Linked DNA regions of Anolis sagrei. The protein of the gene in region 3 interacts with the protein of the main gene of each other region in a pairwise test. Links are inferred from orthologs where the notes say so. Each region holds a gene or a part of one and is shown on either strand. Other genes may lie near its edges. The genes, in order: APIP, NADK, NUDT18 and RAB3IL1.

Region 1 (8,376 bases), on a different chromosome or scaffold from region 3:
CTTTCATCTTCTCTACCAAATAGTGCTTGTGTTTCATGGAACTAAAACTCTTATGATTCTATAGCATTGTGCCATGGCAGTTGAAGTGGTGTCAATTTGCATTAAAATTCTACAGTACAGATGTAAACAAAGCTAGAAATGATGTGAAGGTGCAGAACAACAGTATGAAGCACTGTTTTTCCCAGCATACATTCAATCTAGTGTTTCATTAGGCCCTCAAAAGAGAATCATCAACTACCTGCCAATCTGTTATTGTCAACCTGCATTTAGGAAGGTAATCAAAATCATAAAAGCAGATAGTCTGGATTTCAATAATAATAAAGTTTATTTATATCCCGCTCCCTCTCCTCAAGGGACTCGGGGTGGCTTACGATATAAATATACAATAAGTGCAATACAATAAAAATCATAAAATGGAATAAACAATAACACATCCATCGATATAAAACACAAAATACAGCACAATCAAGTCACAAAAATTAACAATAAAATTATGAACATTAGATTAAAAACACACTCATTCCTATGAGCTAAAAGGGGCTTGCTGCTTGCTACTAAGTCCATATCCTAGAGATTGACTAATCACTATCAAAAGCCTGTTTAAATAACCAGGTCCTCAAGTCCCTGGGGGGCCACCACTGAGAAGGTTCTCTCCCTCATCCCCGCCTGCCTCGCTTGTGAAGGAGGTGGGACCGAGAGGAAGGCCTCCTCAGCCAATCGTGAGGCCCAAACAGATTTATATGGGAGGATGTGGTAACGTAAATAGGCAGGACCTGGGCCCTGCAGAGTTTTTTTTTAGGTACTAACGTGCACTTTGAATTGGGCTCAGAAACAAATAGGCAACTAGTGAAGCTGCTTGGGGGGTGGGGTGGGGGTTGGAGTTGTATGATCTGTATAACCCACCCCCGTCAGCAACCTGGGTGCCAATCTTTGTACTAATTGGAGCTTCTGAGTCAGGCCCGTAGCCAGGATTTCGTTTCGGGGGGGGGGGGGGTGAACTTTTTCAGGGGGGGTTTCGGGGGGGGGGGGGCTGAGTCTGAGTGAAACCTTTTGTATCATTACCCCAATACCCCCATGCATATGGGATATATTGAGTATGGTGATCAGATCATGATATGAATAAACATAACAGTTTAAATAATGCACCATTAAGGCCTTTTCGCGAACCACCATGAAAATTTCGGGGGGGGGGGGCTGAAGCCCCCCGAGCCCCCCCCCCCCCCCCGGCTACATGCCTGTTCTGAGTCATCTTCAGAGGTAGCCCTACATTACAGTAATCCATACGTTACAGTAATCCATACGAGATGGAACTAAGGCATGGACCACCGTGACCAGTTCTGGCTTTTCGAGGTATGATCAAAGTTGGTGCACAAGCTTCAATCGTGCATAGGTCCTCCCTGCCACCACCGACACCTGAGTGTCAAGTGTCAGTTCTGAGTCCAGGAGGACCCCCAAAGTGTGGACCTGTGTCTTAAGGGGGAGTGTTACCCCATTGGGCACTCCCCGATTTTATGTGGTATCTACAGGTTTACTAGTTGAATGTTTGGCCCATAAAACAATAAAAAATTAAAACAGTCAACACTGAATACTGGTGGGATTTGGTAGTGACTGTCCTTGGAATCCGGGAGTTATAGTTCACCAGCATCCAGACAGCACTGAACCCAACCGACAACGAATATGTGCCAGACTTGACATACAGATGTAACTTGGCCAACTTTGAATACTAATGGGGTTTGGGGAGATTGATTTTGGAATCCGGGAGTTATAGTTCACCAGCATCCAGAGAGCAATGAACCCAGCCGATGACGAATCTGGACCAAACTTGACATACAGACCCAACTTGGCCAATACTGGCAGGGTTTGAGGTGATTAGCCCATGATTTTTTGGGAATTGTAGTTCATCTACACCCTTTTGAACTGGATTATATGGCAGTGTAGACTCATATAATCTAGTTCAAAACAGATATAACCTAGTTCAAAACATTGCCTGTTTTGAACTTTAACCTCTTGTTTGCTACTAAAGCTGTTTTAAAACAATAAAAAAGTGTGTCAGAAACATGACATGTTTGGAAAGCTGGAATAGACTAAGATATATTTCAGAGGGAACCAAACTCCCTCTTGAGTATCCCTTGTCTATTATGGAAATCCTATGAAAATTAATGGGGGACTTGAAGGAGAGCAATACTACTACAAAGTTTCTTGATTTTTCAAACTGATCTCCAGAGGGTTTTTTTTAAAAGGCCAAATGTGACAACAGGTCTTAATCATTCTAAAGGCACAATTTCATAATAATGATTTTATTATTTTTACTTGCCTCTCCTAGTGGGTGGAGGCAGGTTACAGCATAATTACAATGCATAAACAATGCGCAGTCGGTTAAACTGCTAAGCTTGTTGACCGAAAGGTTGCAGGTTCAAATCCGGGGAGCAGCGTGAGCTTCCGCTGTCAGCCCCAGCTTCTGCCAACCTAGCAGTTTGAAAACATGCAAATGTGAGTAGATCAATACTCCGGCAGGAAGGTAACGGCGCGCCTTGCAGTCATGCCGGCCACATGAACTTGGAGGTGTCTATGGACAACGCCGGCTCTTTTGCTTAGAAATGGAGTTTTGAAACAATACACGTCTAAAAAAGCATGTCAGCAACATGGCATGTTTGGAAAGAGTTGGACACAAGTGAACTTAAAGGCGTGGGACAACCTTTACCTTTAAACATTGTAAATATTCTATAAATGCATGTATTAAATGTATTTCTATAAAATATACATATTAAAACATATTAAGACATACTAAAATACACAGAAACAGAGATTAAAACACAGGACACAAGTTTAAAATTCATGATGAAGCCCCTCTCTCCCCAGCTTGCATGGGCCGAAAGGAGACCGAAACAAGTTCCTTCCTCGTTACCTTGGCGTTCTCCCAGCCGTTCCTGCAGGGACAGCTGCAATCCCCCCGGGCTTCAGCCATAGAGCTAGGTTTCAGCAGCTGCCCTTCCTTCTTCCTATTGGGCTGCTGAAATCGGAAAGGAGAAGGAAGACCCCGGCCCTTTCCTGCTCCTGACGCAGTTGCATAGGCGAATCCCAGACTATAGTGCTAAAAGTTTATTGGACTTCAACTCCCAGAAGCCTCAGCTGCCTTGGGCAACGAGTAGGAATTCTGGGAGATGAAGTCCAAAACGCTTGGCAGACCAACGTTTGGGAAACACAGCATTACACTATAGAATACGATTTGTGTTCCTGGGTTATAAATGCCATTTGGGTCTATCATAAACACATGGAAACGGTTTTTTAAACTGCAAAACTATGTTTTGGGGGGACATCCTGCAACAATAGGATTTAAAGTGGATTCATTCTCTAGAGTGATGAGATATTGAATTGATTTTGTCATTTGGGAGTTATAGTTGCTGGGATTTATAATTCACCTACAATCAAAGAGCATTCTGAACTCCACCAATGGTGGAATTGAACCAAACTTGACACACAGAACTCCCATGGAAATACTGGAAGGGTCTGGTGGGCATTGACCTTGAGTTTGGGAGTTGTAGTTCACCTATATCCAGAGAGCATTGTGGACTCAAACAATGATAGATCTGGACCAAACTTGGCACAAATACTCAATATGCCCAAATGTGAACACTGGTGAAGTTTGGGGGAAACAGAACTTGACATTTGGGAGTTGTAGTTGCAGGGATTTATAGTTCACCTGCAATCAAAGAGTATTCTGAACTCCACCAACGATAGAATTGGGCCAAACTTACCACACAGAACCCCCATGAACAACAGGAATACTGTGTTTTCTGGTGGTCTTCGGCGACTCCTGTGACACCCACTCGCGACCCCCCCCCCCCCCCGGTGTCCCGACCCCTAGGTTGAGAAACGCTGTCAAACTACAAGAAAGGCGATTCCATCTGAACATTAGGAAGAACTTCCTGACTGAGAGCTGTTCAGCAGTGGAACTCTCTGCCCTTCAGTGTGGCGGAGGCTCCTTCTTTGGAGGCTTTTAAACAGAGGCTGGATGGCCATCTGTCGGGGGTGATTTGAATGCAATTTTCCTGCTTCTTGGCAGAATGGGGTTGGACTGGATGGACCATGAGGTCTCTTCCAACTCTGTGATTCTTTCAGCAGAGAAATAGTGTTGGGGAAGCTTCACCCGTTGGTTGTTATCATTTTGCCTGGCATGGTATTGTGATGCCATTGTGTATACATAGTAACTTATAGTGCAGGAAGCCTCCTTCAATGAGAGGAAAACGTTTTGCTTCTCGGATGCCGGGTAGACAGTGTCCCCACTGCACACTGAGTGCAGACAGTGGAGGATGAGTTTTGTGCAGGCGGAAGGGAGGCCAGCCCCTTGGTGCCTTTTCCTCTCAGGCAGTGCGATAGACAGCCCCGGCGGGAGGGCGGCGGGAGAGGGAAAGATGGCGGCCTCCTTGTGGCTCATCCGCTGCAGCAGAGGAGCGGCCAAGCTGTGGCTGGGCAGCAGTGTCTCCCGAGGGATCCTGCGTTGCCCGCCTCGGGAGATGCGGGGCAGGTTTCTGCACAGGACTCAGGAGCTTCTGGGTGAGTGCCTTGCTAGAGAGCGGTGAAATGGGCCCTTTGCCCGCAGTCTCACTCCTGGGGGAATGTCAGGCAGAAATGTCATTGAAAGGGAAGCAAAAGGGAGCCTTGAGGTTGTGTGTGCGGCAAAGAAATAGCTTCTGAGTTCTTGTGGGTTTTTTCGGGCTACATGGCCATGTTCTAGAGGCATTTCTCCTGACGTTTCGCCTGCATCTATGGCAAGCATCCTCAGAGGTGAGGTCTGTTTTCCCAGTTCCAACAGACCTCACTACCTCTGAGGATGCTTGCCATAGATGCAGGCGAAACGTCAGGAGAAAATGCCTCTAGAACATGGCCATATAGCCCGAAAAAACCTACAACAACCCAGTGATTCCGACTATGAAAGCCTTCGACAATACATTATTGTAATTGTTTATATGTAGCAACATCGAATCAATGCCAAATATAAGCCATCCTGAGACCCCCTCCAGGTGTAGAGAAGAGACAGGGTAGAAATACCAGAAATAAATCAATAAATCAATCAATAAACAATGTATACACCAGGCATAGGCAAACTTTGGCCCTCCAGGTGTTTTGGACTTCTGCATCGGCTGTTAGGAAGGTAATAGTATGAACACTGGGTCCAGAAGCTCTGAGCGTTACGCTGTTTCTGCTTCGCTCCTTCGGGAGTGCTGTTTGCGCAACGCAGAACGGAACACAGATATTATAGAAGGAATGTAAGAATTCTTTAATGGTAAAACCCTAAACCTTACCCAAACCCTTACCCCAAACTTTACCCTAACCCTAAACTTAATCCTAACTCAAACCCTAATCCTAACCCAAACCCTAAATCTTAGCCTAACCCCTACGCCTAATTCTAACCCTAATCCTAATCCTTACTCTACCCCAAATCCTAAACCTTACTCTAAACATTATCCTAACCCTCCTCTCCTTTCTATCTTTCCACCAAATTGAAGTATATTCCCGCCCTCAGTGTGCTGCTCTCCCCTTTCCTTATTCATAACTGCTGTTGCAGAATGTGCGTAACAATCGGAGCACCCGGACCCAGCTATCATACTATCACCTACACCGATAACGGTTTATAATTTTGTAATAATGATGATGATGATAATGATAATAATCTATATAAATAAAAATGTAACGTTCGTTTGTGGGATTAACATAACTCAAAAACCACGGGATGAATTGCCGCCAAATTGGGCCACAAGACACCTACTAACCTAAGGAGTGACCATCACTAAAAAAAATAAATTAAAAAATTGTCATTTGGGAGTTGTAGTTGCTGGGATTTATAGTTAACCTACAAACAAAGAACATTCTGAACTCCACCAATGATGGAATTGAACTAAACCTGGCATACGGGACTCCTATGACCAACAGAAAACACTAGAAGGGTTTGGTGGGCATTGACCTCGAGTTTGGGAGTTGCAGTTTACCTACATCCAGAGAGCATTGTGGACTCAAACAATGATGGATCTGGCCCAAACTTGGCATTAATATTCCATATGCCCAAATATGAACACAGGTGGAGTTGGGGAAAATATACCTTGACAATTGGGTTTGTAGTTACTGGGATTTATAGTTCACCTACAATCAAAGAGCATTCTGAACCCTACCAAAGACAGATTTGTGGCAAACTTCCCACACAGAACCCCCATGACCAATTTAAGGCCATCCAGTCCAAGTCCCTTCACCAGGGCAAGAAAACAGAATCAAAGCCCTCCTGACAAAGAGCCATCCAGCCATAGATATTGATAGATAGATATGATTCACACACACATATAGTGTCATAGATTTGAAAGGGGGCCCTAAAGTAGGACAATTATATGTTGCATGTTCCAGAGTAGGCAAACCAGACAATCTCCCAATCAACACTGACAAAGAAACAGCAAGAAATACCGATTACCCACAAGCATAAAGAAATTACATATATTAGAAACCAACACTTTCTCATTACTTTATTTTCCAAATCACCAAACTGGGCCACAGCAATGTGTGGCAGGGGATCGCTAGTAATAATAATAATAAACTTTATTTATACCTCGCCACTATCTCCCCAAAGGGGACTCGGGGCGGCTAACATGAGGCCAAGCCCAGGATTACAATACAGCAAAATAAAATACAACAAAGCAAAAATAACATCAAAATAAGATGTATAAAATAGCTAAATAAAATAGTTACAGAATAACAAGAAAGAAATATAACACAATGGGCGGGCCAAATGCATGGGATAAAAATTGATAAAACCTTAGATGAGATAGTAGTGGGAGAATGTGTTTCTGAGGGAAGGGCTCAAAAGAGTGGGGTTAAACTTTCATTAAGGACAGGGGAAAGTGGATCATGAGGACAGAACTGTAGTTGGAACAAACAGGATATGGAATATATGTTCACTGACCAAAAGCACATTGGAAGAGCCAAGTTTTAAGGTCTTTCTTAAAAGCTGCCAGGCTTGCCTAATCTCACTAGGTAGTGAATTCCAAAGTTGGGGGGCCACAATGGAGAAGGCTCTCTCAAATATGTAACTAAACTAAAAAAAATTCTGTCCCTGGTTTGAAAGTGCTAATTCCTGTTTAATTGTTTGGTACTTACAAAATACACAACTATGTATCCCCATTTTCCTCAGTGAAGTGTTGGACAAAATAACCTAAGAACATCACCTTAAACAAGCCACACTCACACCTTAAACAAGTCACACTCAGAGGAAAGCAATGGCAAGCCTCTTCTGAACTAATCTTTTACCCCCAAAATCCTGAAATAGCATAACCTTTCAGTCACCATAGGTCACAAACAACTTCAAGGCATGTGATAACTACCAATGGTGCTGTGATATTGGTCTGAGACGACCAGATATTGCAAACTCTACAGTTGGCCTTTCATGTTCACGGATCAGGCATGGGCAAACTTTGGCCCTCCAGGTGTTTTGGACTTCAACTCCCTCAATTTCTAACAGCCTCAGGCACTTTCCTTTCCCCCCTCAGTCAGCTAAGGAGCTGGGGGAGGGGGGGGGGGAGGAAAGGTCCTGAGGCTGTTAGGAATTGTGGGAATTGAAGTCCAAAACATCTGGAGGGCCCAAGTTTGCCCATGCCTAGTGTGCACCTTGACAGTTTATAATTCTGTAATAATAATGATGATAACACTATGTAATTAAATTTAAAAAAAATCTGCCCCTAGTTTGAAAGTGTTATTTCCTGTTTAATTGTGTGGTACTTACTTTGAAAGTAGTAGTTGTTGTAGTAGTAGTAATAATAATAATAATAATAATAATAATAATTTTTATTTATATTCTGCCCTATCTCCCCGTAGGGACTCAGGACAGATTCCAGTCACAAAAAGGCAAACATTCAATGCCTAAACATAATAATTAATTCACACATAGCAATTAAAATTGAAACTACACAGCATACAAAGACAAATTATAATGTAACAATTAAAATTAACTTTAAACACAACCTATTCTATAAGACACTTTGCCACAAACTGTGCTGAATTGGTTGAGACTCTGAAATATGGATTGAAAAGCTAGCATAATAATGTATTGCCAAAGACTGTCATGGCCGGAATCACTGGGTTGTTGTAGGTTTTTCGGGCTGTATGACCATGTTCTAGAAGCATTCTTTCCTGACGTTTCGCCTGCATCTATGGCAGGCTTCCTCAGACGTTGTGAGATATGCAAGCAAAATATCAGAAGATAATTCTTCTAGAACATGGCCATACAGCCCGAATAATCTACAACAACCCTATAATAATAATAATAATAATAATAATAATAATAATATTTTGCTTTTCTCCCCAAAATGGGACCCAAAGCAGCTTCCAACATATCAA
Region 2 (7,890 bases), on a different chromosome or scaffold from region 3:
TTACATTTATTATTTGACTCTATTATTGTTATTATTACATGTATTATTTGACTCTATTATTGTTATTATTACATTTCCATTATTTGACTCTATTATTATTATTATTATTATTATTATTATTATTATTACATTATGTTACTCTCTTTATTCTTATTGGAAGGATACATAAATATGGTGTATTACATTACATTATATTATAAGCTATATAAAAATTTGGTACCAGACTTTTAAAATAAAGCACCACATGAGGATAACGGTTACCAAAACCTTTGTCTCTACAACCATCCGATGCTCCGAAATAAATTCATGCCACAAAGGCAGTGAGTCATAAGAAACAGGAGGAAAATAAACTTAGATAAACACACTTGTGTGGCTCTTTTCCACGGCTCTTGATTTATGTAACTTTGATTAATCCACCCCTTATGCCCAAAGTTAAAAATAGACAAAACTCTTCCACATTCGAGGCCACCGGGCCCACTCAATCTATTGCAACTTTCCTTTTACATTGCATGGTTATAATCTATATAGATAAAAAAAATGTAATGTTAGTTTGTGGGATTCACATAACTCCAAAACCACTGGGCGAACTGACACCAAATCTGGACACAAGACACCTCTCAGGCCAAGGAGTGACCATCACTCATCAAAACACTGAAAAACACAACAGAAGGGATAGGTAGGAACACTGATAGATTAGACAGGATAGATAGACAGGATAGATAGATAGATAGATAGATAGACACATACATACATACATACATATATAGGTAGGAACATAGATAGGTAGGAACACTGATAAGATAGATAGATAGATAGATAGATAGATAGATGATAGGAACAATGATAGACAGATAAATAGGAACATAGATAAATAGGAACAGAGATAGACAGACAGATAGGAATACTGATAGGTAGGTAGGTAGGTAGATAGATAGATAGGGACATAGGTAGATAGGAACATAGGTAGAAACATTGATAGGTTAGACAGACAGACAGACAGACAGACAGACAGACAGGAACAATGATAGACAGATAGATAGGAACATAGATAGATAGGAACAGTGATAGACAGATAGATAGGAATACCGATAGATAGACAGACAGATAGATAGATAGATAGATAGATAGGGACATAGATAGATAGGAACAATTAGAAAGGCAGACAGACAGATAGAAATACCCATAGATAGATAGATAGATAGATAGATAGATAGATACCTAAATAGATAGGAACATAGGTACGAAAACAAATAGGTTAGTTAGTTAGATAGATAAATAGATTGATAGATAGACAGACAGATAGATACGAACATAGATAGATAGGAACATAGGTAGGAACACTGATAGGTTAGATAGATAGATAGATAGATAGGAACAATGGTAGATAGATAAGAACATAGATAGATAGGAACAATTAGACAGGCAGACAGACAGATAGAAATACCCATAGATAGATAGATAGATAGATAGATAGATAGATAGATAGAGACATAAATAGATAGGAACATAGGTAGGAAAACAAATAGGTTAGTTAGATAGATAAATAGATTGATAGATAGACAGACAGATAGATACGAACATAGATAGATAGGAACAGAGATAGACAGACAGATAGATAGGAACATAGGTAGGAACACTGATAGGATAGGTAGATAGATAGATAGATAGATAGATAGATAGATAGATAGATAGGAACAATGATAGACAGATAGATAGGAACATAGATAAATAGGAACAGTGATAGACAGACAGATAGATAGGAATACCGATAGATAGATAGACAGACAGACAGAAAGATAGAGACATCTATAGATAAGAACATAGATAGATAGGAACAATTAGACAGGCAGACAGATAGATAGAAATACTCATAGATAGATAGATAGATAGATAGATAGATAGATGGATAGATGGATAGATGGATAGATGGATAGATGGATAGGGACATAAATAGTTAGGAACATAGGTAGGAAAACAGATGGGTTAGTTAGTTAGTTAGATAAATAGACAGATAGATAAGAACAATGACAGACAGACAGACAGGAACATAGATAGATAGGAACAGTGATACACAGACAGATAGATAGATAATAATACCGATAGGTAGATAGATAGATAGATAGATAGGAATAGTTAGACAGACAGATAGGAATACCCATAGATAGATAGATAGATAGATAGATAGATAGAGACATAGGTAGGAACACTGATAGGATAGATAGATAGATAGATAGATAGATAGATAGATAGATAGATAGGAGCATAGATAGGAACCGTGATAGATAGACAGACAGATAGACAGATAAGAATACCCATAGATAGATAGATAGATAGATAGATAGATAGATAGATAGGACCACGGATGGTAGGAACATATAGATAGGAACAAAGATAAGATTGGTATATAGATAGACGTATGTGTCCAGAGGAGGGCGACTCAAATGATCAAGGGTCTGAACAATCCCTATGAGGAGCGGCTTAAGGAGCTGGGCATGTTTAGCCTGAAGAAGAGAAGGCTGAGAGGAGATATGATGAGAGCCATGTATAAATATGTGAGAGGAAGCCACAGGGAGGAGGGAGTGAACTTGGAGACTAGGATGTGAAACAATGGCTTCAAACTACAAGAGAGGAGATTCCACCTGAACATGAGGAAGAACTTCCTGACTGTGAGAGCCGTTCAGCAGTGGAACTCTCTGCCATGGAGTGTGGTGGAGGCTCCTTCTTTGGAGGCTTTGAAACAGAGGCTGGATGGCCATCTGTCAGGGGTGATTTGAATGCAATATTCCTGCTTCTTGTCAGGATGGGGTTGGACTGGAAGGTCCCTTCCAACTCTAGGATTCTATGAAAGAAATCTGTGAAGCATACTGATTGTGGTGGAGGCTCCTTCTTGTGAAGCTTTTCAACAGAGGCTGGATGGCCATCTGTCAGGGGTGCTTTGAATGAGATTTTCCTGCTTCTTGGCATTCTATATAGATAGATGGATGATAGGCAGGCAGACAGACAGACAGGGAACACAAATAGATAGACAGAAGGCAGACAGATAAACACAGATAGATAAACACAGTCCTGCCATGTAGGAAGACACCATCCAAGCCCTCCCGACAGATGGCTCGCCAACCCAGCCAGGCCTCTCCCTCTCCCTAGGCCTCAGGCCTGCCCTCCCAGATAAGGGACTCCAACTCCCATCAGCCCCTGCCGAGGCAGCCAGCCGCGAGGGACGCCGGGAGATGTAGTCCAAGCTGGGCCCGCCCCGCTCACCGTGGGCCTGGCTCTCTCTCCTCCTCGCTCTCCTTCCCGGGCCTTTTCAGAAGCCTCCCGCCCGCCGGCAACTCCTCCAGCCGGGCCAGGTGAGCCGGCCTCGGCCTGGGAAGCCACAACACTCCGGCCCGCCTCCGCCCTCCATCCTCCGCCCTCTGAGGGAAGGGACCGGCGCGCCCACTGCGCATGCGCGCCTCCCTCCGAGGGCGGGGCGCCTCCTCACGCCACCCCCAACGCGCATGCGCACCGCTGCCAGGGCTCAGCGCGGTGGCACCACGGGAGTCGTAGTCTCGGCCCTCATCGACGCAGAGGGAGGAAGCGCGGGGCAAAGACTACATCTCCCAGGATGCCATCGCGCCTGAGCTGTGCCACTCTCCAAGGGGGAGTCAAACTGCTCCCAGGAGGAGGGTTCTTCCTCTCTTCGCCTTCAGGCATTTCCTCCCTCTTTTTTCCCCCTTTCTTTCCTTCTCCTCTTGCCTTTTCTGATACACCTTTCCCCTCTTCTTTCTTTCTTTCCTTTCTCTTCCCTTTCCTCCCTTCCTTTTCTTCCTCCCTTCTTTTCCTTTTTCTTCCTTTCTTTCCTTCCTCCCTTGTTTTTCTTTCTTTCTTCCTTCTTCCCCCTCCTTTTCCTTCCTTTCTTCTTTTTCTTTTTTTCCCTCCCTCCCTTTTTCTTCCTTGCTTCCTTTCCTTTCTCCTTTTTTCTTCCTTCCTTTCCTCCCACTTTTATTTTTCTTCCTTCCTGTCTTCTTTTTTTCTTCCTTCCTTTCTTTCCTCCCTCTCTTACTTTTCTTCCTTCCTTTCTTCCCTCCCTCCCTTATTTTTCTTCCTTCCTTCCTGTCTTCTTTTTCTCTTTCTCTTTTCTTCCTTCCTTCCTTTCTCCTTTTTTCTTCCTTCCTTCCTTCCTTCCTTCCTTCCCTCCTTTCTTCCTTTCCGCCCTCTGTTATTTTTCTTCCTTCATGTCTTCTTTTTCTCTTTTCTCCCTTTCTTCCCTTTCTCCCCTCTTTGTCTTCCTTCCTTTCCCTCCGCTTTTATTTTTCTTCCTTCCTTCCTCTCTTTTTTCTCTTTTCTTCCTTCCTTCCCATCATCCCTTTTTTCCTTCCTTCCTTATATTTCTTCCTTCCTGTCTTCTCTTTCCTTCCTTCCCTTCTTTTTCTTCCTTCCTTTCCTCCCTCCCTTATTATTCTTCCTTTCTTCCTGTTTTCTTTTTCTTTCTTTTCTTCCTTCCTTCCTTTCCTTCCTATGTTTTTCTTTTCTTTTTCTTCTTTTTCTTTTCTTCCTTCCTTCCTTTCCTTCCTACGTTTTTCCTTTCTTTTTCTTCTTTTTCTCTTTCCTTCCTTCCTTCCCTTCCTCCCTTCTTTTTCTTCCTTCCTTCCTTTCCTTCCTACGTTTTCCTTTCTTTTTCCTTCTTTTTCTCTTTCCTTCCTTCCTTCCCTTCCTACCTTCTTTCCCCTTTTTTTCTTTCTTCTTTTTCTCTTTTCTTCCTTCCTTCCTTTCTCCACCTCTTCACAATGCCTTCATGTCAGCATGGCTCTCCAACCAACCTGCATACATACTCTGAAAGCTTTTCCTTCTGAAAACACAACCGATGGAGCTTCAGAATGATGCCAATGAGGCCCGACAGCTCATCGGGCCACGAAGGCCTATTTTGAGACGGCTCAGCCGGTCGCTTCTAAAGAAAGCGGCCTTGGCCATGAACTCCTTCAGGCTTACTTTCCAGGAAAGGATCAGCGGCTTGCCAGCTGTCTTTATGCAGAGGCTTGGATGGCTATCTGTCAGGAGGGTTTTGATTGTGTCTTCCCAGCAGAATGGGGTTGGACCGGATGGCCTTTGGGGGTCTCTTCCAACTCTATGTGTATGTGTAATATACACTATATATTATGCATATACATATATAAATGAAGTTATGTATGCTACGTATGTATGGGGTGCACCTTTGAATTGGGGAGGGTGATTAATACACAATATATACATACACACACACATATACATATATATATATATACATATATAAATGAAGCCATGAATGCTATGTATGTATGGGGTGCATTTCAGAATTGGGATGATTAATACATTATATATATATATATACACACATACACACACACACATATATACATACATATATAATTGTATATACATATATAAATGAAGCTATGTATGCTATGGGGTGCATCTTAGAATTAGGGAGGGTGATATATATATATATATATATATATATATATATACACATACACACACACATATATATACATATACATATATAAATGAAGCTATGTATGCTATATATGTATGGGGTGCACCTTAGAATTGGGAAGGGTGATTAATACAATATATATATATATATATACACACACACACACACACACACATACGTAATATACATGTACATATATAAATGAAGCTATGTATGCTATATATGTATGGGGTGCATCTTAGAATTAGGGAGGGTGATTAATACATATATATATATATACACATACACACACATATATATACATTATACATATACATATATAAATGAAGCTATGTATGCTATATATGTATGGGGTGCATCTTAGAATTGGGAAGGGTGATTAATACATTATATATATATATACACACACACACACACATATATACGTAATATACATGTACATATATAAATGAAGCTATGTATGCTATGTATGTATGCGGTGCACCTTAGAATGGGGGAGGGTGATTAATACATATTTATATATATATACATATACATATATATGTGTGTGCGTATAATATACATTATATATTACACATATACATATATAAATGAAGCTACGTATGCTATGTACGTATAGGGTTCACCTTAGAATTGGGGAGGGTGCTTAATATATATACATATATATATATCTTATACATATATAAATGGAGCTATGTATGTATACATATATATATACATATATAATATATAAAATATACATATACATTACACATATACATATATAAACAACGCTGTGTATGCTATGTATGTATATATGGATAGATCTATGTTACCCAATCTCGGTGGCACTAAAACCAATGTGCAAGACGTTGGATAAGACGCCCAGCGAGAACTCTCCGGCCCCGTTAAGCAGGGATTTATTTCCGAAGGGCACATTCCCAAGAGCCGTTCTAAGCAGAGATTTGGCCAAGGCGGCCCAAAGCTGTCTCGGGAAGGTCAACAAAAGACGGGGCAGAAAGCCACTTCTGAGAAATGTCTCGTCGTAATAATAGTCCAAGGCGCTTAACTAGCCCGAACAAGCCTTGAGTAAAGAGTGATTTCGCCATAGCACAAAGCATCGCTGTTAGAGCGTAGCAGCATTACAGCATATTGCTTCTCTTCCTCAGAGTAGCGTATTGCTTCTCCGAACTGTATTCTAAAATCCATACAGTTATACCCCAAACATGCTGGCTGACCTACATTACCAGCTGTACAAAATAATTAACACCATAAGGGTTTTCTTTAATGCACACTTGATCCTGCTACGACTTACTGTAATACATACTTCGCACTTTAACAACACAATCGTTCGATACTAAGGCTGCGCCAAAATGGAACTGTAGAGGAGAGTCTACAAAACTAAAGTTCTGGTGGTGAAAATTTCAGAACTCTAACAAAACTTTCAAAATTCAATTATTATTATTTCATTATTGGTGATTTTTATGATAGAATCAATTAGGAACTACCATTTAGAATGAAATTTTGAGAGGTTTGTTAAGAGTTCTGAAATTTTCACCACCAGAACTTTAGTTTTGTAAGTAATTTAGAAACATTTAGAACCATGGATTGACCAGGCCTAATATATATATATATATATATATATATATATATGTTGTTCATTTCTTCAGTCGTCTCCGACTCTTCGTGACCTCATGGACCAGCCCACGCCAGAGCTCCCTGTTGGCCGTCACCACCCCCAGCTCCTTCAAGGTCAGTCCAGTCACTTCATATATATATATATATATATATATATATATATATATACACACACACACACACATACATCGTCTCCGACTCTTCATGACCTCATGGACCAGCCCACGCCAGAGCTCCCTGTCGGCCGTCACCACCCCCAGCTCCTTCAAAGTCAGTCCAGTCACTTCATATATATATATATATATATATATATATATACACACACACACACACATACACACACACACACACACACACACATCGTCTCCGACTCTTCGTGACCTCATGGACCAGCCCACGCCAGAGCTCCCTGTCGGCCGTCACCACCCCCAGCTCCTTCAAGGTCAGTCCAGTCACTTCATATATATACACACACACACACACACACACACACAATATATTATATTATTAGCCTAGTACAATATCAGTCTTATATATTACTATATTGTACTATACCATTATATTGTAATGTTATTAATAATATTACATGAAATACAACTATATTATTATTATTATTATTATTATTATTATTATTATTATTGGCATGACCCCGCCCACCCTTTCCTACTTTTTCCAATTCTGGGCCCTTCCACACAGCTGAATAACATTCCCCATTTTCTGCTTTGAACTGGAATATATGGCAGTGTGGACTCATCTTGAACCCAGTTCAAAGCAGATATTGTAGGATCATAATCATCTATTTTTCTAATTGTCGCTTCGAT
Region 3 (7,560 bases):
TTAAAAACAATTAAACCAATATTACCACAGTTACATCATGCTGTTCATAATCATAAGCCGGGTCGTTCCAGTAGTCCTTACACATAATTCTATATCTGTCTGTTACACAGTTCTCCCAAGGCTTGATCAAAGAGCCACATTTTCACTTTCTTACAGAAGGTCAGGAGGGAGGGGGCCAATCTAATAATAATAATAATAATAATAATAATAATAATAATAATAATAATGTTCCCCCATCAATCAGCATGACAAGTAGTTTCCTAATAACAATAATAATTTTCCCCACCAATCAGCATGGTATTATTATTAATAACTAGCCGTCCCTGCCACGCGTTGCTGTGGCCCACATGGGGGTTCTGTGTGGAAGGTTTGGCCCATTTCCATCATTTGTGGGGTTCAGAATTCTCTGTGATTGTAGGTGAACTATAAATCCCAGCAACTACAACTCCCAAATGTCAAGATTCTATTTTCCCCAAACTCCACCAGTGTTCACATTTGGGCATATTGAGTATTCGTGTCGAGTTTGGTCCAGATCCATCATTGTTTGAGCCCACAGTGATCTCTGGATGTAGGTGAACTACAACTCCCAAACTCAAGGTCAATGCCAACCAAACCCTTCCAGTATTTTCCGTTGATCATGGGAGAACTGTGTGCCAAGTTTGGTTCAATTCCATCATTGGTGGAGTTCAGAATGCTATTTGATTGTAGGTGAACTATAAATCCCAGCAAACTACAACTCCCAAATGACAAAATCATTTTTTTTTAGTGAAGGACATACATTGGGTTGTTAGGTGTCTTGTGTCCAAATTGGATGTCAATTCGTCCAGTGGTTTTTGAGTTCTGTTAATCTCACAAACAAACATTACATTTTTATTTATATGGATAATTTTATTTTTGCCTACCTCTCCTCCCGACTCAAGTAAGAGGAAGCACTCTTATTACACTGCAGTACCCAGCATCCCCCTTAAGCCTATCATCATCATCATCATCATCATCATCATCATCATCATCATTTCATCATATCTCACTTTTAGGTCTTGAATGAGATACAAAGCAGCATCAATTTCGAGAAGGCCTCTTTTCTTCCACTGCAAGGCCCAGCATCCCCTTGCCAAACAGTCAATGGCACCAGAGCTCCCTTTGGAGGGGGACTACATTTCCCATCAACCACCTCCCAAAGAGATGGGAAGTAGTTTCCCAAGAATCCGGCGAGAGCCCCCTTTCCCATTTCGGTGGGAAATGGGGGATGATGGGAATGGCAGTCCCCCCCTTTCCGGCACTGCAGGGAACATCATCCCCTGGATCCCCAAGGGAAATCCTTCCTATGGAAGTGCTTCTTTTCGAAGGAGACATGGCAAATTCCAGCATCCATTCCCCGCTCCCAAAGTAGCTTCCAGTTCATTTTAGAGGGGGGCTACAACTCCCATCATTGCCTGCCCACCCACACACTGGGATTATGGGAGTTGAAGTCCTCTCCTTTTTGGCACTATAGGGCTCGTCTTCCTCTGGATCCAAAAGAAAAGTTATTCCTTTTGGGGGAAGGACTACAACTCCCAGCATCCATACCCTCCTTCCTCTCTCGCCTAAAAGTAGCTTCTTAGGAGAGTAAGGAGGGAAAGAGGGGGAGATTATGGGCCCTGAAGTGCCAGAAAGGGGAGCACTACAACTCCCATCATCCCAGGCCCACTGATGGAAAGTGGCTTCCCAATAATCGGAGGGGGGCTTTCTGATTATAGGGAAATGGGGGTGATGGGAGTGGCAGTCCTCCCCTTTCTGCTACTAGGAGGCCCATCAGCCTGATGACTTTGAAGTGGGGGTGATGGGAGTGGCAGTCCTCCCCTTTCTGGCACTAGGGGGCCCATCAGCCTGATGACTGGGAAGTGGGGGATGATGGGAGTGGCAGTTCTCCCCTTTCTGTCACTAGGAGGCCCATCAGCCTGATAACTTTGAAGTGGGGGGTGATGGGAGTGGTAGTCCTCCCCTTTCTGGCACTAGGGGTCCCATCAGCCTGATGACTGGGAAGTGGGGGGTGATGGGAGTGGCACTAGGAGGCCCATCAGCCTGATGACTGGAAAGTGGGGGGTGATGGGAGTGGTAGTCTTTCCCTTTCTGGCACTAGGAGGCCCATCAGCTTGATTACTTTGATGTGGGGGGTAATGGGAGTGGCAGTCCTCCCCTTTCTGCTACTAGGAGGCCCATCAGCCTGATGACTTTGAAGTGGGGGTGATGGGAGTGGTAGTCTTCCAATTTCTGGTACTAGGAGGCCCATCAGCCTGATGACTGGGAAGTGGGGGTGATGGGAGTGGTAGTCTTCCCCTTTCTGGTACTAGGAAGCCCATCAGCCTGATGAGTGGGAAGTGGAGGTGATGGGAGTGGTAGTCTTCCCCTTTCTGGCACTAGGGGGCCCATCAGCCTGATGACTTTGAAGTGGGGATGATGGGAGTGGCAGTCCTCCCCTTTCTGGCACTAGGAGGCCCATCAGCCTGATGACTGGGAAGTGGGGGATGATGGGAGTGGTAGTCCTCCCCTTTCTGGCACTAGGAGGCCCATCAGCCTGATGACTGGGAAGTGGGGGTTGATGGGAGTGGCAGTCCTCCCCTTTCTGGCACTAGGAGGCCCATCAGCCTGTTGACTGGGAAGTGGGAGATGATGGGAGTGGCAGTCCTCCTCTTTCTGGCACTAGGAGACCCATCAGCTTGATGACTGGGAAGTGGGAGTGATGGGAGTGGCAGTCCTCCCCTTTCTGACACTAGGAGGCCCATCAGCCTGATGACTGGGAAGTGGGAGTGATGGGAGTGGCAGTCCTCCCCTTTCTAGCACTAGGAGGCCTATCAGCCTGATGACTTTGAAGTGGGGGATGATGGGAGTGGTAGTCCTCCCCTTTCTAGCACTAGGAGGCCCATCAGCCTGATGACTGGGAAGTGGGGGGTGATGGGAGTGGCAGTCCTCCCCTTTCTGGCACTAGTAGGGGGAGGACTTGGGCTGCGGCACCCACCTTCTCGTTGAGGAGCACGGCGAGGACGATGTAGGTGGTGTTCCTGCGGAGGCGGGCCTTCTCGGGGGGCTCCAGCGGGGCCGAGTCGTACCCGCCGCCCTCCGAGGACAAGGGCCAGCCCTGCCCGCCCAGCACCGCCCCCACCTCCGCCACGGCGCCCGCCCCGCCCCCGGCCATCGACCCCGCCCCGGCCTTCCGCATTTGGCAGCCCTCTGCACGCGCCCCGGAGCCCTCTCGCGCGGGGAGGCGGCGCCCGCGAAGGCCCTGGGCCCCAGGCAGGCCACGCCCACCGCACGCCAAGGGAGAAGGCCACCGAGGGGAGGGAACAAAGCGGGCGTCGCTCTTCATTGGACAAAGCGCATTGCGCTTTGTCCAATGAAGAGCGACGGCCGCTTTGTTCCCTCCCCTCGGTGGCCTTCTCCACTGGCGTCCGGTGGGCGTGGCCTGCCTGGGGCCCGCTATTCGTTACTCATTGGCTCGACGCAAAGCGCTCCTCGCTTCTCATTGGACGGAGCGCTCTTCTCCTCCCCATTGGGTAAAGAGTCGAACCCTCCTCGCTTCCCCATTGGCTGGACGTAAAACGCTTCCCGCTTCTCATTGGACGAAACGCTCATCTCGTACCCATTGGGGTAACAGCTCAGCGGTATTCACTCCTCATTGAACAAAGTGGTAATCGCTTCCCAGTTGGGTGAAGAGATTAAAAGATGGGCTCAAAGCCAACCTTAAAATCTCTGGCATAGACACTGAGAACTGGGAAGCCCTGGCCCTTGAGCGCTCCAGCTGGAGGTCAGCTGTGATCAGCAGTGCTGCAGAATTTGAAGAGGCATGAATGGAGGGTGAAAGAGAGAAACGTGCCAAGAGGAAGGCGTGTCAAGCCAACCCCGACCAGGACTGCATTCCATCTGGAAACCAATGCCCTCACTGCAGGAGAACATGCAGATCAAGAACAGGGCTCCACAGCCACCAACGGATCCACAAGAATACTGGTCATGGATGGAAGACTAGCCTACTCGTCCAACGAGGGATCGCCTAAGGGTGAAGAGTCAAGTGCTCCTCATCTCCCCATTGGCTGGGCCAACTTGGGCCCTCCAGGTGTTTTGGGTTTCAACTCCCACCATTCCTTTTTTTTATATAGAGATAATAATTTTTATTGATTTATCACAATTACTACATTTGATATACAATTGTTATTACTGTTACATTTTGTACAACACACTCTTTAACATGTTATTTTATTGTTTTGCTCAAACATTTCCCCCCTTTATTTCCACCACAGTGCTCCCACCATTCCTAACCGCCTACCTGGTGGAGGGCCCATGTTGGCCCAGGCCTGGGCTAGACTGAAAGCGCTCCTCGCTTCTCATTGGACAAAGACCTCCTAGTTTCCCCATTGGCTGACCAACAAGGTGCTGTTCTGGGTTACTGTGATTATAAGAACTGGATTTTATGAGGCCACTTCTACACTTCTACATAGACATTCCAGATAATCTGCTTTGAACTAGATTATATGGCAGTGTAGATTTGATGGGGAGATATTAGAAATATAGATATTTGTTTATGTATAAATTGTGTACTTTACAAGCACTGAAATGTATCAAGTTCTCTCTGTATCAGAAATTCAAGCTGACAGGACAAGCAAGCTGCGTCCAGGCACAGCAAGAGGGAGGTGAACATTAAAGGGTGGGGGGAGAGATAAGCCCATCCTAGTGGCACCGAGCCCAGGCTATAGCTAAGTAAGGAGCCTATCTCTTCCTCATGACAGGTCAAAGTAGGCCCCTTGATTGATGGATGTAGGCTGTATGCTGCTCTTTAGAAAGAAATACAGAGACATGCCTTTTGTATGTTGGAAGATAGAATTTGATATTTCTGTGATGCTAAAGTGATGCAGAGAATTATTATTTTTTTGTCGTGTCAGGGAGCGACCTTAGAAACTGCAAGTTGCTTCTGGTGTGAGAGAATTGGCCGTCTGCAAGGACGTTGCCCAGGGGATGCCCGGATGATTTGATGTTTTATCATCCTTGTGGGAGGCTTCTCTCATGTCCCCACATGAGGAGCTGATAGAGGGAGCTCATCCACCTCTCTCTGGATTCGAACCTGCGACCTGTTGGTCTTCAGTCCTGCCAGCATAGGGGTTTAACCCACTGCGCCACCGGGGGCTCCTGCAGAGAATGATGTCAGTGTATGTAGATGCATGTTTGCCTGCATTTGAAGTGTACAAAAAGGCAGTCAACGCCTTTATCAGGCACTCTTAAGTGTTTTTGGACACAGCTCCACTCCAGAGTCCCAGCTGGAAATAAACCCGTGCTTTTCCAGACGTCAGGAACTCTCTTTGTCTCTTTTCCTAAAACCTTCTGATTTTATATTATTTTAATTGTTTTTATTGTATTCTTATGCTTTGATGTTAACTGTAAACCGCCCTGAGTCATCTGCGGGCTGAGAGGGGCGGTATATAAATGTAGCAAATAAATAAATAAATAAATATAATCCAGTTCAAAGCAGATAATGTGGATTATCTGCTTTGATCATCTGGATTATATGGCAGTTTAGAGGGGGCCAAAGCGATGTCAAACTACATTAATTCTGCAGTGTAAATGCACCCCAAATTACAGCTTTTCCTATAGTTGCCAGAGCAGACCTTGGGAGTTAAAGGTAAATGTAAACGAGTGGTACCTATTGATCTACTCACATTTGCCTGTTTTCAAACTGCTAGGTTGGCAGAAGCTGGGGCTAACAGTGGGAGCTCACCCTGCTCCCCAGATTTAAACCTTACGGTCAGCAAGTTCAGCAGCTCAGCGGTTTAACCCACTGTGCCACCAGGGGCTCCTCAATTGGGAAAGTAGATGGTGTATAATAAATCAAACCACATTGAAATAAAATTTGAGAACACCGCTTGTCCAGCCTTTATTTGAAGTCTAATAGAACAAATATGTGAGGAACTGGGGTATATAAAAATACAGAATCATAGCTGCTGCAAGGACATTGATTTGAAACCCTTTATCTGCCTTATCCGTAAAGCATGACTTAGGAAAACAGCCGAATTTGGATCACTCTTCAGTGGTACCATCGCTCCCTTGTGTGTCTAATTCAAGTTTGTTCAGAACCATTGGAAGCAGTATCAACCACTTTCCCCGCCATTGGGCTCTATGGTTCCTCGATGGGACTCTGGGAATGAAGCTGACCCAAGCTACTCTTCCTGCTTTGAGTAGAGGGCCCTCACCCGTTCCACGATCTCTGTGGCTTCCTTTATGGCTTTGGCATGGAGACCATTGTTGGCTGCCAAGTGATCAAAAAGATTGAGGGGCTCAGCACTCCGGAGGACTTGTGGCATCGGGATCTGGATCGGCAACGAGATGTTCCCGATGAGGAAGTGCTCGAGATATTTCTCCCGCACTGCCGTGTGCAAGAACAAGAGGATGTCTTGGAGCCTCGTTGCCAGGTTCTCAGGGTTCCAGTCGGAGACCGGCCGCAGGAGCAAGAGGTGCATCAAGCAAGTCTTGTAATGGTAGTCAGTGAGGACAGGGTTCTTACCGGACGGACTACCAGAACCCTTGAGATACATCAGGATCTGGAGACACTTCAAGTGACAGCTCCATTCGGGTGCCCGTTGGCCAAACCATTCAAAGAAGAGCAGTTCCTGAACAGCGAAGGTCTTCAGCCAAATGGTGCCCTTGGTAGGGTTGGCGTCTCCACAGTGGGTGACTAGGAAGACCAAGGAGTCTCCTTGCTGGACACCGAGGGTGATGTCCACCAGAACAGAACGCCCAGAGTGGAAGGCCAGCTTCAACCGGCATGTTGTGGCCGACGGCATGAGCGTGAGGTCGAGGGTGTACCTCTCACGGAGGTTCCTCCAAGCCTTGACCACCAAATTCTGGTACCAGCGGATGGTCTTCCCCACATCCAAGTGGGAACTGGTGCACAAAATGTGGAGGAGGAATGCGCCTTCTTCACTCAGATCCCGGTCTGGGTGGTGGAGGAAGCACACCACGTCACCCAGGAGCCGCTGCCTCTTGCAAACGCAGTCCATCTCCACCAAAATGTGGCCATGTTTGCTGGGTCCACCCTCAGCATCACTGCTTTCAATTTGGAAGGAATGGCCTTTGGGCGGCAGGAGGGGCACCAGGACAGTGAAGGGTTTCGACAGCCGTTGTATGTGCCACCCTTCAAAGGCGCTGCCCACTCCGATGCAGTTCTCCATTAGAGGAAGGGTGTTCTGGTATGGAAGGGTTTTCCGACCTTCATCCAACAAATCGTTGACGAAGGTCTCCACAAAATCGCACACGTTCTTCAAGTCGCCGTTTTCCAGTCCAATATAGCAGTCATAGAAGGCCTCCAGCTTCTTCTGGTTGGGTTTGCCAACTTCCGGCTCCATGTCCGTGTCGTCGTCGTATTCATCTGTGGTGGACGTGCTGGAGCCATCCGTGCTGGAATCGTAATGGGTGTCCTTTTCCATCGTGTGCCTGCAGCAGCCAAAGACAACAAGGATGATGAGGCCCACGTAAGGCCAACCATCCCAGGTCCCGTCTTCCACCGGCAGGTCAGGCTTCACAAATTTCTCCTGCTTCTGC
Region 4 (8,229 bases), on a different chromosome or scaffold from region 3:
ATGGGAACCCACTGGGTGACCTTCAGCAAGTCATATGCTCTCAGTCATTGGTGGCATAGTGGGTTGAACTGCTGAGCTGCTGTACTTGCTGACCGAAAGGCCGCTGGTTTAAATCCGGGAAGCAGGGTGAGCTCCCACTCTTAGCCCCAGCTTCTGCCAACCTAGCAGTTTGAAAACATGCAAATGTGAGTAGATCACTAGGTACTGCTCCGGTGGGAAGGTAATGGCGCTCCATGCAGTCATGCCAGCCACATGACCTTGGAGGTGTCTACTGACAACGCCGGCTCTTCAGTTTAGAAATGGAAACGAGCACCAACCCCCAGAGTCAGTCACGACTGGACTTAATGTCAGAGGAAAACCTTTACCTTTACTACTAAATCACAATGACAGGAAGGCACTCCACAACAACAGTTCTGAATGGTGTGTTTACTTTTTCTTCAGAATTCAACTGGAGGGTCAAACTTCTGGAGACCAGATTATCGATCTCCTCCTGCTATGGACATGTGATTGTGGCAGCTAAAAGACAGCTAAATAAAAGGATCCTTCATCCACAACTTCTAGTCCCATGCCTCCCACTCATCCTTGGGCGATCTTTGCCCATTAGGTTCAGGCTTGAACTAGTGGAAGTTGGTGAGGAGGAGAGGAGTAGCATGGAAAAGAATGGAGAGGGTGCAAAGCAAGGTGGGGAAAATTCTACCACATCCACAACACCGACCCACAGAGGAGCCAGTGTGAGACTTGAACCTTGGGGTGATGGCTCTGGAGACCTGGGTTCGAATCTCTGCTGGGCTACAGAAACCCACTGGTTGAACTTATGTGAATCACACTCTCTCAGACCAAGGAAGCGAACTGCAAAGGCCTTCTGGAAGAAATCATGTCCAGGAAATCTTGTGACAGGGTGCCTGAGGGTCTTTAGCATTCTGGCAGCTAGAAGACAGCTAACTAAAAGGAACCTTCATCCACAACTTCTAGTCCCAAGCCTTTTTCCCATCCTTGAGTGATCTTCCAGGTTCATAGAATAGAATCATAGAATCAAAGAGTTGGAAGAGACCTCATGGGTCATCCAGTCCAACCCCCTGCCAAGAAGCAGGAATATTGCATTCAAATCACCCCTGACAGATGGCCATCCAGCCTCTGCTTAAAAGCTTCCAAAGAAGGAGCCTCCACCACACTCCGGGGCAGAGAGTTCCACTGCTGAATGGCTCTCACAGTCAGGAAGTTCTTCCTCATGTTCAGATGGAATCTCCTCTCTTGTAGTTTGAAGCCATTGTTCCGCGTCCTAGACTCCAGGGAAGCAGAAAACAAGCTTGCTCCCTCCTCCCTGTGGCTTCCTCTCACATATTTATACATGGCTATCATATCCCCTCTCAGCCTTCTCTTCTTCAGGCTAAACATGCCCAGCTCCTTAAGCCGCTCCTCATAGGGCTTGTTCTCCAGACCTTTTATCATTTTAGTCGCTCTCCTCTGGACACATTCCAGCTTGTCAATATCTCTCTTGAATTGTGGTGCCCAGAATTGGACACAATATTCCAGGTGTGCTCTAACCAAAGCAGAATAGAGGGGTAGCATTACTTCCCTAGATCTAGGGAAGTAATGCTACCCCTCTATTCTGCTTTGGAGGAGAGGAAGTATGGCAAAGAATGGAGAGTATGAAAAGCAAAGGAGGAGGAGTCTTCCACATCCACAACCCCGACCCACAGAGGAGCCAGTGTGAGACTTGAATGCTGGGGTTATGACTCTGGAGACCTGGGTTAGAATCTCTGCTGGGCCACAGAAACTCACTGGGTGACCTTGTGTGAGTCACACTCTCTCAGACCAAAGAAGGGAACTGCAAATGCTTTCTGGAAGAAATCGTGTCTAGGAAACCTTGTGATGGGGTGCCTGAGGGTCTTTAGCATTTTGGCAGGTAGAATGAAGGTAGACCCTTCATCTGCAACTTCTAGTCTCATGCCTCCCACCCATCCTTGGGTGACCTTTGCCCATCAGGTTCAGGCTTGAACTAATAGAAGTTGGGGAGTAGGAGAGGAATAGCATGGGAAAGAATGGGGAGGGTGCAAAGCAAGGCGGGGAAAAGTCTCCCACATCCACAATCAGGGGTGGCTCAACCCATTACGCAAAGTAAGCATTTGCAGCATAGTTGATTTTGCCCAGGGGCGCTCTTGAGGCACTCTTGGGGAAAAATAGACCTTGACATATGTGAGTTGTAGTTACTGGGATTTATAGTTCACCTACAATTAAAGAGCATTCTGAACTCCACCAATGATGGAATTGAACCAAATATGGCACACAGAACTCCCACGACGAACAGAAAATATACATCAGTGATTGGTTGGGGGGGGGGGGGTGCCAAAATACTGTTTGCTTACCATTGAAAATTACCTAGGGCCGCCTCTGTCCACAATCCCAACCCACAGAGGAGCCAGTGTGACAAAATGTCTTGAACATTGGGATGATGACTCTGGAGACCTGGGTTCAAACCACTGGTGGGCCATGGAAACCCACTGGATGACCTTGTGTGAGTCACTCTCTCTCAGCCCAAGGAAGGGAACTGCAAACACCTTCTGGAAGAAATCGTGTCAAGCTACTTGATCATACTAGAGAATGAATCCACTTTAAAACTGGTTTCTGCCTCCTACAGAATTCTGGGGTTTGTAGTTTAGTGAGGCTGTTAAAGGTTCCTCCCTAAACTACAATTCCCAGAATTCTGCAGAAACCGGATTTAAAGTGGATTCGTTCTCTAGTGTGATGAGAACTAATGTGACGGGGTGCTTGAGGGTCACCATAAGCGAGATGCGACTTGGAAGACAGAGTGGTCCCTGCTGCCCTTTGGGGTGCTCTCCACTGTGGAAGGAAAGCGATTGGACACCACTTGAACTGTCACGGCTCTGCTGTGGAATCCTGTGGTTTGGAGGGAAAGCGAAGGGCAGCAGTGAGAGTGGTGTCAAGCTGCATTCATTCCGCAGTGTAGATGCACCCTTGAAGCTGTAAAACCTCCGCACCGGGTTTTCTCCAAGCCTCCCCTCCTTGGTGCAGAGCAGAAGGCAGGCCAAAAGGCCCCGGGGAAGCAGCCCCCTTCGGTGCCCTTTCTGCCACCCTCCCCGTTAACCCGCAGCACCTACCCGCGCCACATGCTGCCTCCAAGGACGTGGCCGCCGGAGCCTCAGGAAGAGAAGGAGGGCGCCTCCGCCGCCGCCGCCGCAGCCATAGCCATAGCCATAGCCATAGCCATGGTCGGGTCTCCTTCCTTGCAAGGCAGAGCGCAGAGCTCGCCTTCAATGCAGGGCGGCCCGCTTGCCTTGGCTTTTCCCCTCCTGGAGCCGCTGCGGCAGGCGCTGGAAACCCTCCCAGCCCAGCTGCTCGGACGCCTCCGCAGCTGGAGGAGAAGGGATGGGCGGGGGAGGGGGCAGGAAAGGAGGAGGAGGAGGAGGAGGAGAGGTCACGTGACCTCCCCGAAAGCTCTCCCCCCCCCCGCTTTCACGTGACCCCCCTTCTCTCACTCTATCCACTCATGAACGGAATCCTAAACTGGGAAGAGACCACTAAAGGCCATCTAGTCCAACCCTCTGGGATACTCCTGACAAATGGCCTGGATTCAGCCCCTGCTTTAAAATATCTCCTGAGAAAGAGACTCCCACCACACTACTCCAGGGCCGGGTTGCTCTGAGTTTTCCGGGCTGTATGGCCATGTCTCCAGAAGTATTCTCTCCTGACGTTTGGCAGGGGGATTCCAGACAAAAATTAATCAGGGCCAGCTAACACCTCCCAACAAAGGATTCCCCCCAGGCAGCAATCAGCCAGGCTTTGAAGCTGCAGGGCCATTCATTGCTAATCAAGCTAGCCAATTGCAGCTTGATTCTCTCCTTCAGGAGAGAATGCTTCTAGAACATGGCCATATAGCCCAAAAAACCTACAACAACCCAATTGCAACATTCACACTTGTCCCAAGCAGACAAGAGTTCTTTCTCCCACCCTGGACATTCCACAGATATATAAACATCACTTTCCAACAGACCTCACAACCTCTGATGCCTGCCATAGATGTGGGTGAAACGTCAGGAGGGAATGCTTGGAGCATGGCCATGCAGACCAGAAAACTCACAGCAACCCGGCCATAAAAGCCTTCGACAACACATTGTTCCAGGGCCTCTTAAGCCTTTCCCTCACAGGATTCCTTTTCACCCAAGAGTTGTGGTTTTACAAGGTCTTTAGCCTTCTCTGCCAAAAAGTGCTGGTGAGTTGCTAAACTGAAACTCCCAGGATTCCAGAGCATTGAACCATGGCAGTAAAAGTGATGCGGTCTTCTGGGATCTCCCTCGCTGGGAGGACCCCAAAAAAGAGCTCGATAACAAAAGTAGTGCCAAACTGCATTTATACTATATTCTGTAGATCAATCATGGGCCAACTTCAGCTCTCCAATTCCTAACAGCCTCAGGCCTCTTCCTTTCCCCCCTCAGATGCTTAAGTGAAAGGAAGTATAGTTTAATGTATTGTCGAAGGCTTTCATGGCTGGAATCACTAGGTTCTTGTGGGTTTTTTGGGGCTATAGAGCCATGTTCTAGAGGCATTTCTCCTGACTCTGTTCCTGCCATACTTCAAGGGAATCACTGACCGCATAGGGAAGCTGATGAGGAAACACAACATACAAACAATCTACAAACCCACCAAGAAAATCCAACAAATGCTATGTTCAGCAAAGGACAAGAGGGATCCTCTCACCTCTGCAGGAGTCTACTGTGTACCATGCAGCTGTGGACAAGTCTACATAGGGACCACCAAACGCAGTGCCCAAACAAGAATCCAGGAACATGAAAGGCACTGCAGACTACTTCAACCAGAGAAGTCAGCCATAGCAGAGCACCTGATGAACCAGCCTGGACACAGCATATTATTTGAGAACACAGAAATGCTGGACCACACCAACAACCACCATGTCAGACTACACAGAGAAGCCATTGAAATCCACAAGCATGTGCACAATTTCAACAGAAAGGAAGAGACCATGAAAATGAACAAAATCTGGCTACCAGTATTAAAAAAACTATAAAATTACAACAGCAAAACAACAGAGAGGAAACAACCAGGCACAGATTAACACCTCCCAGCAAGAGATGTTCCCAGACTCAGACAGGCCTTCAAATGCTAATGAATGTGATCAGCTGAAACATTCACACCTAACTGCAGCAGGGAAGAGCTCCTTGCCCCACCCCAGCCATTCCACAGATATATAAACCCATTGTCCTAATTCCAACAGACCTCACTACCTCTGAGGATGCTTGCCATAGATGCAGGCGAAACGTCAGGAGAAATACCTCTAGAACATGGCTCTATAGCCCGAAAAAACCCACTAGAACAAAGTATAGTTTGCCCAGGCCTGGTGTAGATGCACTCACAGAGATAGTGCATCCAAGAGGACCTTTTCCTTTGCTGTCCAAAAGAGGAGCAGCTGGAAGATATTTGACAGCTCAGTCAGTTGTCAGAATGCAAGACACTTCTGAAGACCCATCTCTTCCAGCAGGCAATTATTAACTATGAATTTTAGATTCACATTCTATATCAGGTCCAGGCAAACTTCAGCCCAGGTGTTTTGGACTTCAACTCCCACAATTCCCAACAGCCTTGGGCCCCTTCCTTTCCCCCCTCATCCGCTTAAGCAGAAATGGCCTGAGGCTGTTAGCAATTGTGGGAGTTGAAGTCCAAAATGCCTGGAGGACTGTTCTATGCTTGTTGTATTTTAATTTTTGTTCTATACTCTAATATGTGCATTTTGTAAAAAATAAGTTTTAATATAAGTTTTCATAAAACTTATGTTATGATAATATATTTTAACTGTGTTGTGCCCTGCCAAGAGCCATAAGGAGAAACAGGTAAAAATACAATTTATTTTTTTATTTATGTATTATGACTAAACTGAAGCTGTCCTACTTTGGACATAGGAGAAGAATCATAGAATCAAAGAGTTGGAAGAGACCTCATAGACCATCCAGTCCAACCCCCTGCCAAGAAGCAGGAATATTGCATTCAAATCACCCCTGACAGATGGCCATCCAGAATTCACGCATTAGAAAGACAGCAGTGCTTGACAAAATGGAGGACTGTAAGAAGACCCCATTTCAGATGGATAGATTCAAGCCATGGCTGTCCTGAGTCTGAAAGATGGCACGGGAACACAGAAGTCACTCAAGAATAGGCTCTCCATAAGTCGAAGTTCATTTGACAACAATTCAGAAATAGCCTCCCAGAGAAGCCTCCAGGAGCAGCAGCTCGCCTTTGAAACAGGTTGCACTCCCATTGACCCATCCACCCCCATTCAATATGAAGTCAAACACTTGTTTTTCAATGCTAGAAAGCAGGCTTCCAGCCACACCCCATATCTCTCATTTTTTGGTCATCCATATGGCTCCTGGAGTTTCCCAAGAACAGAAGCAGGCTTCTCCTGATTTTGAGCAATGCTTGGCAATTTCTTCTTTGGCCTTTGGCTATTACAGCAATAAAGAGGAGCAGGGAAGGAAGTAGCAGCAGGTATTGCTCTGTAAGCAGTTAACATGTATATCAAGATGTCCTTGAAGGGTAATTCACTGCAAGAGTTGTCTTTTGTGATCTGTTGCCCAGATAGAGTTTAATGGAAAGCCAAAACTGAGGAAAACCGGGGCTTTTCAGTTTGAGAGCTGTCTCTCCCTTGATCCCACATTAAACCCATTGGCTATAGTACCTAGGCATTTCCATGAGTTGCAGTACAACAACAAACAGCTGAACAGCGTATAGGGTTACAACCTGAAGACACAGGTTCACAGCTTGGTAGTTCTTCTGGTCTCATTGCTGAGCTTGGAACAACAGATCTCGGCGGTGGCCAGGGGATCGTTCGAACAATTAAAACTTGTGCGCCAGTTGCGCCCGTACCTTGGGAAGTTATACTTGGCCACAGTAGTCTACACTCTGGTTACATCTCGAATAGACTAGTGCAATGTGCTGTATGCGGGGCTGCCTTTAAAGACGGTTCAAAAGCTCCAAATGGTCCAACGGGTGGCAGCCCAATTGCTCACCAGAGCGGCATACAGGAAGCATAAAACCCCCCTGTTACGTCAGCTTCACTGGCTGCCAATTTGCTACCGAGCACAATTCAAAGTGCTAGCTTTAGCCTATAAAGCCCTAAACAGTTCTGACCCAGCTTATCTGTCCAAACGTATTTCCCTCTATGAACCACTGTGGAGTTTAAGATCATCTGGGGAGCCCCTGCTCTTGATCCCTCCTTCCTTGCAGGCATGATTGACCAAGATGAGAGACAGGGCCTTCTCAGTGGTGATCCCTTGACTGTGGAACTCCCTCCCTAGTGATGTTAGAACAGCCCCCTCACTTCTGACCTTCCACAAGAGAGTGAAAATGTGGCTTTGTGACCAAGCCTTTAAAGAACTTGTGCAATAGATGGACTTGGGTTTATGTGCAATGATCATTAGAATGGCCCGGATTATGCTCGTGGATTATGTGTTTAACTCTTAATATATAGTTTTTAAATGTTTTAATTGTTTTAATGTATTTTTAAATTCTATTTTAATATTTATTTAAATATACATTGTGTTTTTGGGCATTGAATTGTTGCCTGTATGTAAAGCTGCCTTGAGTCCTCTCTGGGGTGAGAAAGGCGGGGTTGAAATGTCATAAATAAATATCTCAGGCCCACCGCTGCCTTAAAAACTAAAACATTTATTATGATAGAAGCTTCCATTAATAGCAGTCTACCTCCTCATAGGCATGAAATGTGAGAAAACATATAATATGCCGGGGAAAGTGAGATGAAGTAGGAAAACAGGAAAATCACACTACACTTGGATTGACTCAGTCAAAGAAACCCTGGCTGCCCTGATTTACAAGGCCTGAGTAGAGATGGTTGGAGGTTTCTCATCCATAGGGTTGACATAAAAAATAACACAAGAAATGCACAAAACTATTAATAATAAATATATCCACCTCCCTTCATGCTTCTACAATGAAAAATTTAGAATTCTTTTGCACAGACATTAAGAAGCCCATGAAAGCCAACACCCGATATAGCAAGAACAGAAATAAATGCATGATATTTCCAACAAGTGGTTTTTTTAGTCAAAACTTTTTTCTATCTGTATTGTGGAACATATGCAGCCCTTTCAAGATTTTGTTTTTAGGGGACTACATTGCTCTTGAAGTTTCAATTGCATGGAAACTTATATGGGTTAATGTAGATATAAGAGAGCCAGT

Evidence for each region.
Region 1: the proteins of NUDT18 (region 3) and APIP interact in binary tests that used the Homo sapiens proteins (3 or more experiments, as listed by UniProt). The two-hybrid records come from large-scale screens. The link is inferred for Anolis sagrei from reciprocal best matches to the Homo sapiens genes NUDT18 and APIP.
Region 2: the proteins of NUDT18 (region 3) and NADK interact in a two-hybrid assay, tested with the Homo sapiens proteins (2 studies listed by BioGRID and IntAct). The two-hybrid records come from large-scale screens. The link is inferred for Anolis sagrei from reciprocal best matches to the Homo sapiens genes NUDT18 and NADK.
Region 4: the proteins of NUDT18 (region 3) and RAB3IL1 interact in binary tests that used the Homo sapiens proteins (3 or more experiments, as listed by UniProt). The two-hybrid records come from large-scale screens. The link is inferred for Anolis sagrei from reciprocal best matches to the Homo sapiens genes NUDT18 and RAB3IL1.

Annotation. Positions count from the first base shown.
Region 1 is NC_090021.1:268,821,467-268,829,842, forward strand, and holds the start of APIP (methylthioribulose-1-phosphate dehydratase), read right to left. Parts: upstream 3,083-8,376; 5' UTR 2,966-3,082; coding exon 2,906-2,965; intron 1-2,905. Other genes in the region: PDHX (pyruvate dehydrogenase protein X component, mitochondrial), read left to right, coding at 4,413-4,554. UniProt on the Homo sapiens protein: Catalyzes the dehydration of methylthioribulose-1-phosphate (MTRu-1-P) into 2,3-diketo-5-methylthiopentyl-1-phosphate (DK-MTP-1-P).
Region 2 is NC_090033.1:1,677,742-1,685,631, reverse strand, and holds the start of NADK (NAD kinase), read right to left. Parts: upstream 3,437-7,890; 5' UTR 3,259-3,436; intron 1-3,258.
Region 3 is NC_090027.1:21,780,674-21,788,233, forward strand, and holds the start of NUDT18 (8-oxo-dGDP phosphatase NUDT18), read right to left. Parts: upstream 3,304-7,560; 5' UTR 3,197-3,303; coding exon 2,996-3,196; intron 1-2,995. Other genes in the region: ITPRIPL1 (inositol 1,4,5-trisphosphate receptor-interacting protein-like 1), read right to left, coding at 6,180-7,560. UniProt on the Homo sapiens protein: Mediates the hydrolysis of oxidized nucleoside diphosphate derivatives. Hydrolyzes 8-oxo-7,8-dihydroguanine (8-oxo-Gua)-containing deoxyribo- and ribonucleoside diphosphates to the monophosphates. Hydrolyzes 8-oxo-dGDP and 8-oxo-GDP with the same efficiencies.
Region 4 is NC_090021.1:237,452,898-237,461,126, forward strand, and holds the start of RAB3IL1 (guanine nucleotide exchange factor for Rab-3A), read right to left. Parts: upstream 3,401-8,229; 5' UTR 3,131-3,400; coding exon 3,120-3,130; intron 1-3,119. UniProt on the Homo sapiens protein: Guanine nucleotide exchange factor (GEF) which may activate RAB3A, a GTPase that regulates synaptic vesicle exocytosis. Promotes the exchange of GDP to GTP, converting inactive GDP-bound Rab proteins into their active GTP-bound form.